Linked DNA regions of Bombyx mori. The protein of the gene in region 1 binds, or shares a complex with, the protein of each later gene. Links are inferred from orthologs where the notes say so. Each region holds a gene or a part of one and is shown in the gene's direction. Other genes may lie near its edges. The genes, in order: rab5 GDP/GTP exchange factor and ras-related protein Rab-21.

Region 1 (3,829 bases):
ATCGAGGTGTTGTCGAAAATTCGATTGTATTTTACAACGGCTGCTCCACCATTCGGATAGGAATCCATTATTGCTTCTAGAAATAGGCCGTGCGTGCTTTGGATACTCCTTACCAGACATTTCGTTTTTTTTGTTGTTGGCTGTAACTCATTTGTCAACTTGCTCTCAGTACGTATTTATTTTAAGCCGTTGGTACTCTTGGAAACGTTTGTACACTCCTCCTTTGCATTGCATTTGCACCCTATAAAACTGCTTCAGGTTTTTTTTAATGAAATTTCTCGGGTCGAATTTGTTCTTTAATGTACCTACTATTCGCATGTAATTATTCGCAGCGAGTGTAGTAGTTTCTATATTATTTCCCACGGCCACATTTTGCTTGAGTGAAGACTGCGAATCAGCCAAATTATAAGGGGGATTCCCAGAATAAGTGAAGCGTTAACTTGCTAAAGTAGCCATCCAGTAGATGGAGCTCTTTAAAATCCAGCAATGGATGTATGGATGATGATAATATTGGTTAAACGATTTGATTGCCACCTATTGGACGTCGATGGTACTAAACTAGACATTTACTCTGCAATATCAATGATTACGGTCCAAATTTCAACCCTAACCGGCCCAAAATTTCTTTGAATACGAACAAACAAACTACCATAATTAAAATGAATTGATATGTTGATTAGGAGATGGAAGATATAGATAAATGTAGTTATTCTAATAGCATGATACGCGTCCAAGGCAATAAACTTGTCAGTAACAGTTCACACTCTCGACGGGTGATAGATAAGTTTTTAAACGTAATATTGTTTATCATGATAATATAAATTATTAAGACCGTGGCGATATGGAAACAATTATGTGAAAAACACGGATTTCTCTATATTGATCTCTATATCGATTTGAAGTCGTCGTGGCCTAAAGGATAAGACGTCCGGTGCATTCGTGTGTAGCGATGCACCGGTGTTCGAATCCCGCAGGTGGGTACCAATTTTTCTAATGAAATACGTACTCAACAAATGTTCACGATTGACTTCCATGTTGAAGGAATAACATCGTGTCATAAAAATCAAACCCGCAAAATTATAATTTGCGTAGTTACTGGTGGTAGGACCTCTTGTGAGCCCGCGCGGGTAGGTACCACCACCCTGCCTATTTCTGCCGTGAAGCGGTAATGCGTTTCGGTTTGAAGGGTGGGGCAGCCGTTGTACTGTAAAAACTGAGATACTAGAACTCATTTCTCAAGGTATGTGGCGGAATTTACGCTGTAGATATCTATGGGCTCCGGTAACTACTTAATGCCAGATGGGTCGTGAGCTCCGCCACCCATCTAAGCAATAAATAAGAAAATTAGTTGTTAACACCTACGGATGACGAATATTTGTATGCCAAAATGAAACATTCGTGGTTCTCTTTTAAGATTAATAGTTTTTCTTTAATTTAATCACGCTTACGGAAAGCTTCCAGAACATTATAGGCGACGCACTGTGACTTTAGCCCACTGAGTTTCTCGCCGGATCTTCTCAGTGGGTCGCGTTTCCGATCCGGTGGTAGATTCTGCGAAGCACTGCTCTTGCTAGGGTCAGTGTTAGCAACACTGCGGCTTGAGCCCCGTGAGCTCACCTGTGTAGGTGTGTAAGTGTGTACTTAGGGCGAAGCTGAAATAGCCTCTCAAGGCTATCAGCATAGGTAGGGAAAAAAAAAGGAAAAAAAGTAACTTTTACTATTTCCGTGTGACATCGAGAAATGTTTTCGTTTAATTATTCAATGTCCTTTATTTCGATTCGGTTAATTATTGAATGTCCTTTATTTCGAACAGAGAAAGCCTCATCGTTTACATCGACTCTTCCTAGATCGGACCAGAGGAAGTCCGAACGCGGCCTCAAGTTGTCCTCGCACGCGTCCTTCTCGAAGTTCGAAGAGAAGCGCCTGCGACAAAGCGAAACGCTCAAGAAGACTAATCTACTGAAGTTTAACGTGTTCAAGAAGAATATTACAGGTATACAATACAAGGTTTTTGTTCATTTTTCTGTCGTATGGCACCTTTAGAATTAAAGTGGCTTAAGATCCATAAATTCTTGTTTTTTGGTAAACACAAAAAATGTTGTTTTAGTTTTTCGATTTTAATACTTTAGGGTATGCCCTTGATTATAAAGAGACAGGAAGAGTAGGTTTTCCTTTTTTTAGACTAAAAAAGACTGTAATTTTATAAACTAATAGAATATATGTTTATATACTTGTTCAAATTTATTTACTGGTGATAGGACCTCTTTTGAGTCCGCACGGGTAGGTAACAACACCCTTCCTATTTCTACCGTGAAGCGGTGATGCTTTTCGGTTTGGGGGGTGGGGTAGCCGTTGTAACTTACTTGAGTCCTTAGAACTGATATCTCAAGGTGGGTGGCGCATTTACGTTTTAGATGTCTATGGGCTCCAGTAACCATTTAAAACCAGGTGGATTGTGAGCTCATCCACCCATCTAAGCAATAAAAAATAATAATTAATTATTATTATAACAGAAGATGATGTTTTATTTTATTCGCTGCGATCTCTACATTTATTACAATACAATTATAATCAATACAAGAACAGATCTATCGGACAAAATCAAAGTGAGATTGTGCTAAGATTTATAGCTATTTATTCATTTCAGATGACCATGAAATCTCAACGGAAAGACGTCAGCCAGAGTTTAAGATTCCGACCGCAGTGTTCGAAGGTATGAAGGCAGACTTCCGGGTCCGCTTTCCCTCGTTTCCCCCCCAGATAGACCGGGACGCTAGGGGCTTCGTTCACACCTTCATCCTGGATGTCATAAAATGGGCTGCTATAATGAATGTGGACGAGCTCTCGGAGAGGGTGCAGAAGCAGTACCAGGTGGGTGGTGAAACTGAATTTTTCTCTGTTGTGTTGTCTGGTGTACCAATGGTGTGATTCTGTTTTGTAAGTCGTCGTGGCCTAAACGATAAGACGTCCGGTGCATTCGTGTCGAGCGATGCAACAGTGTTCGAATGCCGCAGGCGGATATCAATTTTTCTAATGAAATGCGTACTTAAAAAATGTTCACGATTGGCTTCCTCGGTGAAGGAATAACATCGTTTAAAAAAAAACCCGCAAAATTTATAATTTGTGTAATTATTGGCGGTAGGATGTCTTGTGAGTCCGCACGGGTAGGTACCACCACCCTACCTATTTCTGCTGACTGAAGTTTTTAAATACTTTCTACATGGGGAATTTTGTGATATTTCATTTTACCTGGCTATATAGAGACTTAGATATTACCTCTGTATCTTGTACGCAATATCTTAATCTATTTGAAGGGTAGACGTTCTACCTATTATTAAGTGGCTCCCGGGGTTATTAGACATTTTAACGTCAACATTTTTAATAGTATCGAACTCAAAAACACCGTTCATGGGAAGGATGGTGATGCTCTTACAGGTCACATGGTTTCCCTTTAATGTGAGGCGGTTTTTGACGCACAGTTATTTGGACCACTCTGACCCTGGGCTCGTGTAACAGTCCATTTGAGCTAATGCTAAAAAAAAGTACCTCATTATTTTCCTTCACGCCCCAGCGCTTCATGAAGCACATGGAAACGTCGCAGCACTACGCATCTGTAGACTCGGACGCCAGAGAGCTGCTCATAGATTTCGTCGAGAAACACGCCATGACCTACTTACATGAGTAAGTAATGGAGTTTATGTTATGCAGACTATTTAGATTATTTATTTATTATAATTATTTTATGGGCGACGGTAACCACTCACCATCAGGTGGGCCGTATGCTCGTCTGCCTACAGAGGCAATAAAAAAAAATTAAGAAAAAAATATT
Region 2 (4,565 bases), on another chromosome or scaffold:
GAAATAAGTTGAGTCTTGAACGTACCTAGGTGATAAAAACCGTTACATTATTTTAATTATTCATTTTAAAGAAATAATCGGTAAAATAATGGCCGTCCCAATTTACCCAGCGTCCGGGGTAAATTGACACGGTTAAGGGTTAAATTGGGATATTTGTAAGGGTTGTCAACTCGCAGTACTGCGATATATTGGTAGGTGCCATATAATTATTTATATGGACCGAAATGATGAATACAATCCATAATTTAAGCACAATACACAACATAGTGTAAATTAAGCTGGTTTCTATTCCGAAGCGATGTGACGTGAATGACAATCAACAATACAATGATCAAAAAAAGTATATGCATGTTATATTTTAGAAAATTATTATTTAATTTCCTTAAAAATCACAATTCTGAAACAAAATCATAAAATAGAATAAAAAATAGAAAACAAAAGGACTGGAAATGCAATAATACAATTTTATTTAATCAACATTTTCAAAATAATCTTTGAGCAAGAGTAAGATATCAGGTGAATAAGATAAAAAAAACAGCTTTATCTGATTACTGCCAATAATAACAAAAATAAAAGAAATTCTTTCTAAGCTAAATAACTAAACTCAATTAATTCACTCACTCATAATTGGATATCTCGGATTTTTAATTAATGTTACATTTAAAATCTGAGGCCTGTTTTTATTTGTGTGTGCGTTGTGAATGTTAACAAAATCATGATTCGACGCGTGAATAGATTCTGAAATAACAAAAGTTTTGATTCGTTTGAGTTCTTTTAACTTTTAATTTTTTTTATTGCTATAAAGAACATACGACCGGGCAGATATTACAAGGTAAATGTCGCGAAAAAAAAGTAATTATATATATACTTTTCTTTTACCTATAATACTTACATAAACTAACTGATAAACACATTAACCTTCTTTACATCACGCAATTAAGTGATAGTATAGGCTAAAAAATCTATTATAAGATATCAGTGACAACCCTAACAAGCCATCCCTATTTTGTCTTTTGGCGTTCCAATTTTGTGTTTTCTCGTCCCTAATTTTTCCAGTCTCGTTCCCAATTGCCTTACATACGTCTCAATTTTCCCCAAAAAGAAAGGAAAAAATATACATTTTTTATTTTGTTGAAATATTGTATTTAAAATAAGAATATTGCAACTTACCGTTTGTTGTGGTATTTCCAGGTGTATTAAAAACTTATATAAACTGTGATCTTATTGAAAAAACAACGATAATATTACTTTTTTTAAAAGTTCTTTAAGCTGTTTTAAAACGCACTTTTCAACCACTATTTTAAATTTAATTTGACGAATTTTTGGGACCAACTTAACTCATGTTTAGTACTTCCATAGTTAACTTGGTTTTTCTTCTATACATTGATAAATATTACCTTAAAGAAAATTAGGTAGATTCCGTGCTACAAGTACTTTGAGAATCTTCCGCAGGTTTGTCCCAATTTACCCCCGAATCCCAATTTACCCCATGTCATGGTACCTACGGTACTGTACCGTATGCTTTAGAATAAACTGTCAAAATTTGGTATCTGTCACATTGAATACTGACAGATACAAAATTTTCTTCACTGTCATTTGTCAGTGTTGATTTGTCAACTTGATTAAAATTACGAAAATATCAACAAATCAAACCAATGAAATAGTTGTGAAATTTTGATATTAACTTAATGTTAAGGTTTGTTTAAGTTAAGGTTTTGAAAATAGAGTGAACAGTTTTTTAAACATTTTATAACGCTTATCAAACGTAATTTAATTGTTATTGAGACTACATGTTTCGTGTTGTAACGTTTATCTGATTGTCTATTTTAACTTTAATTTGCTCACATACCAGTTAAGTAACAGGTTTACATCAAAATATTCTAAAAAAATGACTACTACGACTGGAGGTGCACGAAATTTTAAAGTAGTTCTTTTGGGTGACGGATGTGTCGGAAAAACTTCATTATTATTGCGTTACATTGAAGATAAATTTAACGAAAAGCATCTGACTACGCTTCAGGTAACTATGACGTATATGAACTAATTTTGTAAGACTGAGTTAATCCCTTTTGTCGATGTCTATGACTGGATTTTTTTTTTGTAGGCCACATTCTTAAATAAAAGGTTGAATATTAATGGAAATCGTGTCAATCTTTCCATTTGGGATACAGCTGGCCAGGAGAAGTTTCATGCTCTGGGACCAATATACTACAGAAACTCTAATGGTGCGATTCTGGTTTACGATATTACTGATGAAGATTCATTTAGAAAGGTAAAATAAGAATTTGAATGACTGTATCTTAACATTTGTAATGAATATTGTAACTATATTAAACAATATAAAATCAATTATAGGTAAAAAATTGGGTGAAAGAATTGAAGAAAATGTTGGGATCAGATATTAATCTGGTAATTGCAGGAAATAAAATAGACCTTGAACATGAACGCACTGTTTCACTAGAAGAAGCAGAAAGGTAAGAATGAATGTAATCTTCTTAAATATTATTACTAAAGATACATTTTGTTGATAAATACTCTTTATTGAATTATATATTCCAGCTATGCAAAATTAGTAGGAGCTAAACATTATTACACTTCAGCAAAATTAAACCAGGGTGTTGAAGAATTGTTTCTTGACTTGACTAGAGAAATGTTGGAAAGACAAGAACACAATACACAGACTGAAGTAAACAGAACATCACAAGTTGTAGTAGTCGATGATGAGGTACCTGTGCAATCAACCTGCTGTTCAGGACACAGGAGTTCCTAAATTAATAGATTTTTTTGTATTCATAGTTTTCATATTTTAAACTATAAAAATGAAAATAATTTACAATGTATATTATGGTGGCTATACAGAAAAATATTTATAGTAATTTAACAATAAACAAGATTACTTGTAATTTTCCACTAAATTTAATTATGTTATATGACTAAACAGCTAGGTTAATTAAACATTTTATTTTAATATATAATACTGATCTTTAAGAAATAAATATTTATCAAATCAATATAATTTGACATGGGAATTTTGATATTTCTTGACAGTATATCTTAATGAAATTCTAAATTAGTTCTATTAAGATGTCATACAAATATGTGTTTTGAGTGCTATAGTGTATCAAATGACATATTATTTGCCAAAACATAATAAGCTTAGGGGCTGTGAGAGAGGAGGTGGATACACTTACACTGCCAAAATCATAAATATCAATTTGCTTTATTCACGTTTGGTTTAAAAATAGGATATAATGGGTATGTTTAAGATAACCTGTAATTTTAAAATGACTATTTTTGTTATTATTAGAGTTTATAATTTTAGATCATATAGTTTTAATAGGATTAATTTATCTTGGCTACAAAATTAATTGCAAAGAAGATTCACTACTTATTTATTCAAGTCAAGATTTCAAATTTTTATTGTAATTTGTTTTTGCATATTATTTCATATGCGATAAATAGCGTACGGCGAAATTATTTATTGCAGAAGTATGCATATTGGATGGTATTGTGTGGGTGAATAATTTTTATCATGTCAAATCAATGATATTGAAGTGAAGATAACATATCTCATTGACATGACATACCTAAAAGTATAATGAAAAATCATCACAATTATAAATTTGAAAGATTAAACAATACATAATAATATATGTAATTTAAGCTTAATACTTTAGCTTGCGAAAAAAATTTTTTATTAGTAAATGTTTTTGCTTTTCTAGCCTTTTTTATCATCCCACAGCTCAACGTTGTTAAATAATTGAAAAGACTTGCGCCATACGTGTCTTGTCCACCAGATCTCCGCTGAGCGCTCTCGAGCTCTGCTGAAGCTGAGCCATTTCACTAGCTAACATAACTTAACCTAACACCTTAGAAGATGTACATGCAGACTTATCAGCTAACTCTTGTAGAAATTTTAACTTATCTCCGAACATAGTCAAATGATTTGTAAAACAGCTTTACTTTACTACTACCTACTACTTATTACTAATTAGAATGTTGCAACATAATTTTAGGTGATTTCACGAATTATGTAACTTTTACACAGTAACTGGTTTTATATTGAGGTCATGGTGTAGTGTAGGTATAATTGGATAGGTATTATTTATCATAGTATCATAATTTTGTCAACGCACTCTATAACTGGAAGCCCCAAATTCAGATTGACTATTATAACCTTAAATGTAGAAATTTGCTTCCTAATGAAATCGAAGTCAGCCAACTAATTATCTAACATGTTAATAATCACAGAATAATTTTTTAAACCCATTTCGTGTAATAATGTATTAAAAACATCAATAAAATGATATCCATACATGTCAGACAATAAGAATTAAATTAGTCTGTTGAAAACAAAGTTATAAATCATTTCATCAGGCAGTAAGGACTGTCAACAAAAAATAACGAAGACAAGATTATTCACATTTTAATTTACCTATTCGCTGGTAGCTTAAGAGGCTATTCAAGCTGCGTCCGGCTGAATAGGTGAGCACGCAGGATCAACCTGAGGGAATTTGCTAACCAGAGCAGCAGCAGGCTCTAGCCCTAGCAAGAGCAGTGCTCTG

Evidence for each region.
Region 2: the proteins of rab5 GDP/GTP exchange factor (region 1) and ras-related protein Rab-21 are in contact, whole or in part, in a crystal structure (PDB 2OT3), measured with the Homo sapiens proteins. The link is inferred for Bombyx mori from reciprocal best matches to the Homo sapiens genes RABGEF1 and RAB21. Residues at the interface, in NP_001273991.1 of Homo sapiens: Leu253, Cys254, Lys296, Phe299, Asn300, Lys303, Pro309, Ala310, Ser311, Ala312, Asp313, Phe315, Leu316, Pro317, Ile320, Leu347, Met348, Thr349, Gly350, Glu351, Gly353, Tyr354, Tyr355, Thr357, Asn358, Cys360, Cys361, Ala364, Phe365, Ser373; in NP_055814.1 of Homo sapiens: Ser19, Phe20, Lys21, Gly26, Glu27, Gly28, Lys32, Thr33, Leu37, Thr50, Thr51, Leu52, Gln53, Ala54, Ser55, Phe56, Ala71, Trp73, Asp74, Thr75, Ala76, Gly77, Gln78, Arg80, Phe81, Leu84, Ile87, Tyr88, Asp91.

The regions. Positions count from the first base shown.
Region 1 is NC_085116.1:16,256,867-16,260,695, forward strand, and holds part of rab5 GDP/GTP exchange factor, read left to right. Parts: intron 1-1,813; coding exon 1,814-1,993; intron 1,994-2,647; coding exon 2,648-2,871; intron 2,872-3,571; coding exon 3,572-3,681; intron 3,682-3,829. UniProt on the Homo sapiens protein: Rab effector protein acting as linker between gamma-adaptin, RAB4A or RAB5A. Involved in endocytic membrane fusion and membrane trafficking of recycling endosomes. Stimulates nucleotide exchange on RAB5A. Can act as a ubiquitin ligase.
Region 2 is NC_085107.1:9,454,348-9,458,912, forward strand, and holds ras-related protein Rab-21, read left to right. Parts: upstream 1-1,554; 5' UTR 1,555-1,688; coding exon 1,689-1,696; exon of another isoform or gene 1,697-1,863; coding exon 1,864-2,020; intron 2,021-2,104; coding exon 2,105-2,272; intron 2,273-2,355; coding exon 2,356-2,474; intron 2,475-2,559; coding exon 2,560-2,770; 3' UTR 2,771-4,357; downstream 4,358-4,565. UniProt on the Homo sapiens protein: The small GTPases Rab are key regulators of intracellular membrane trafficking, from the formation of transport vesicles to their fusion with membranes.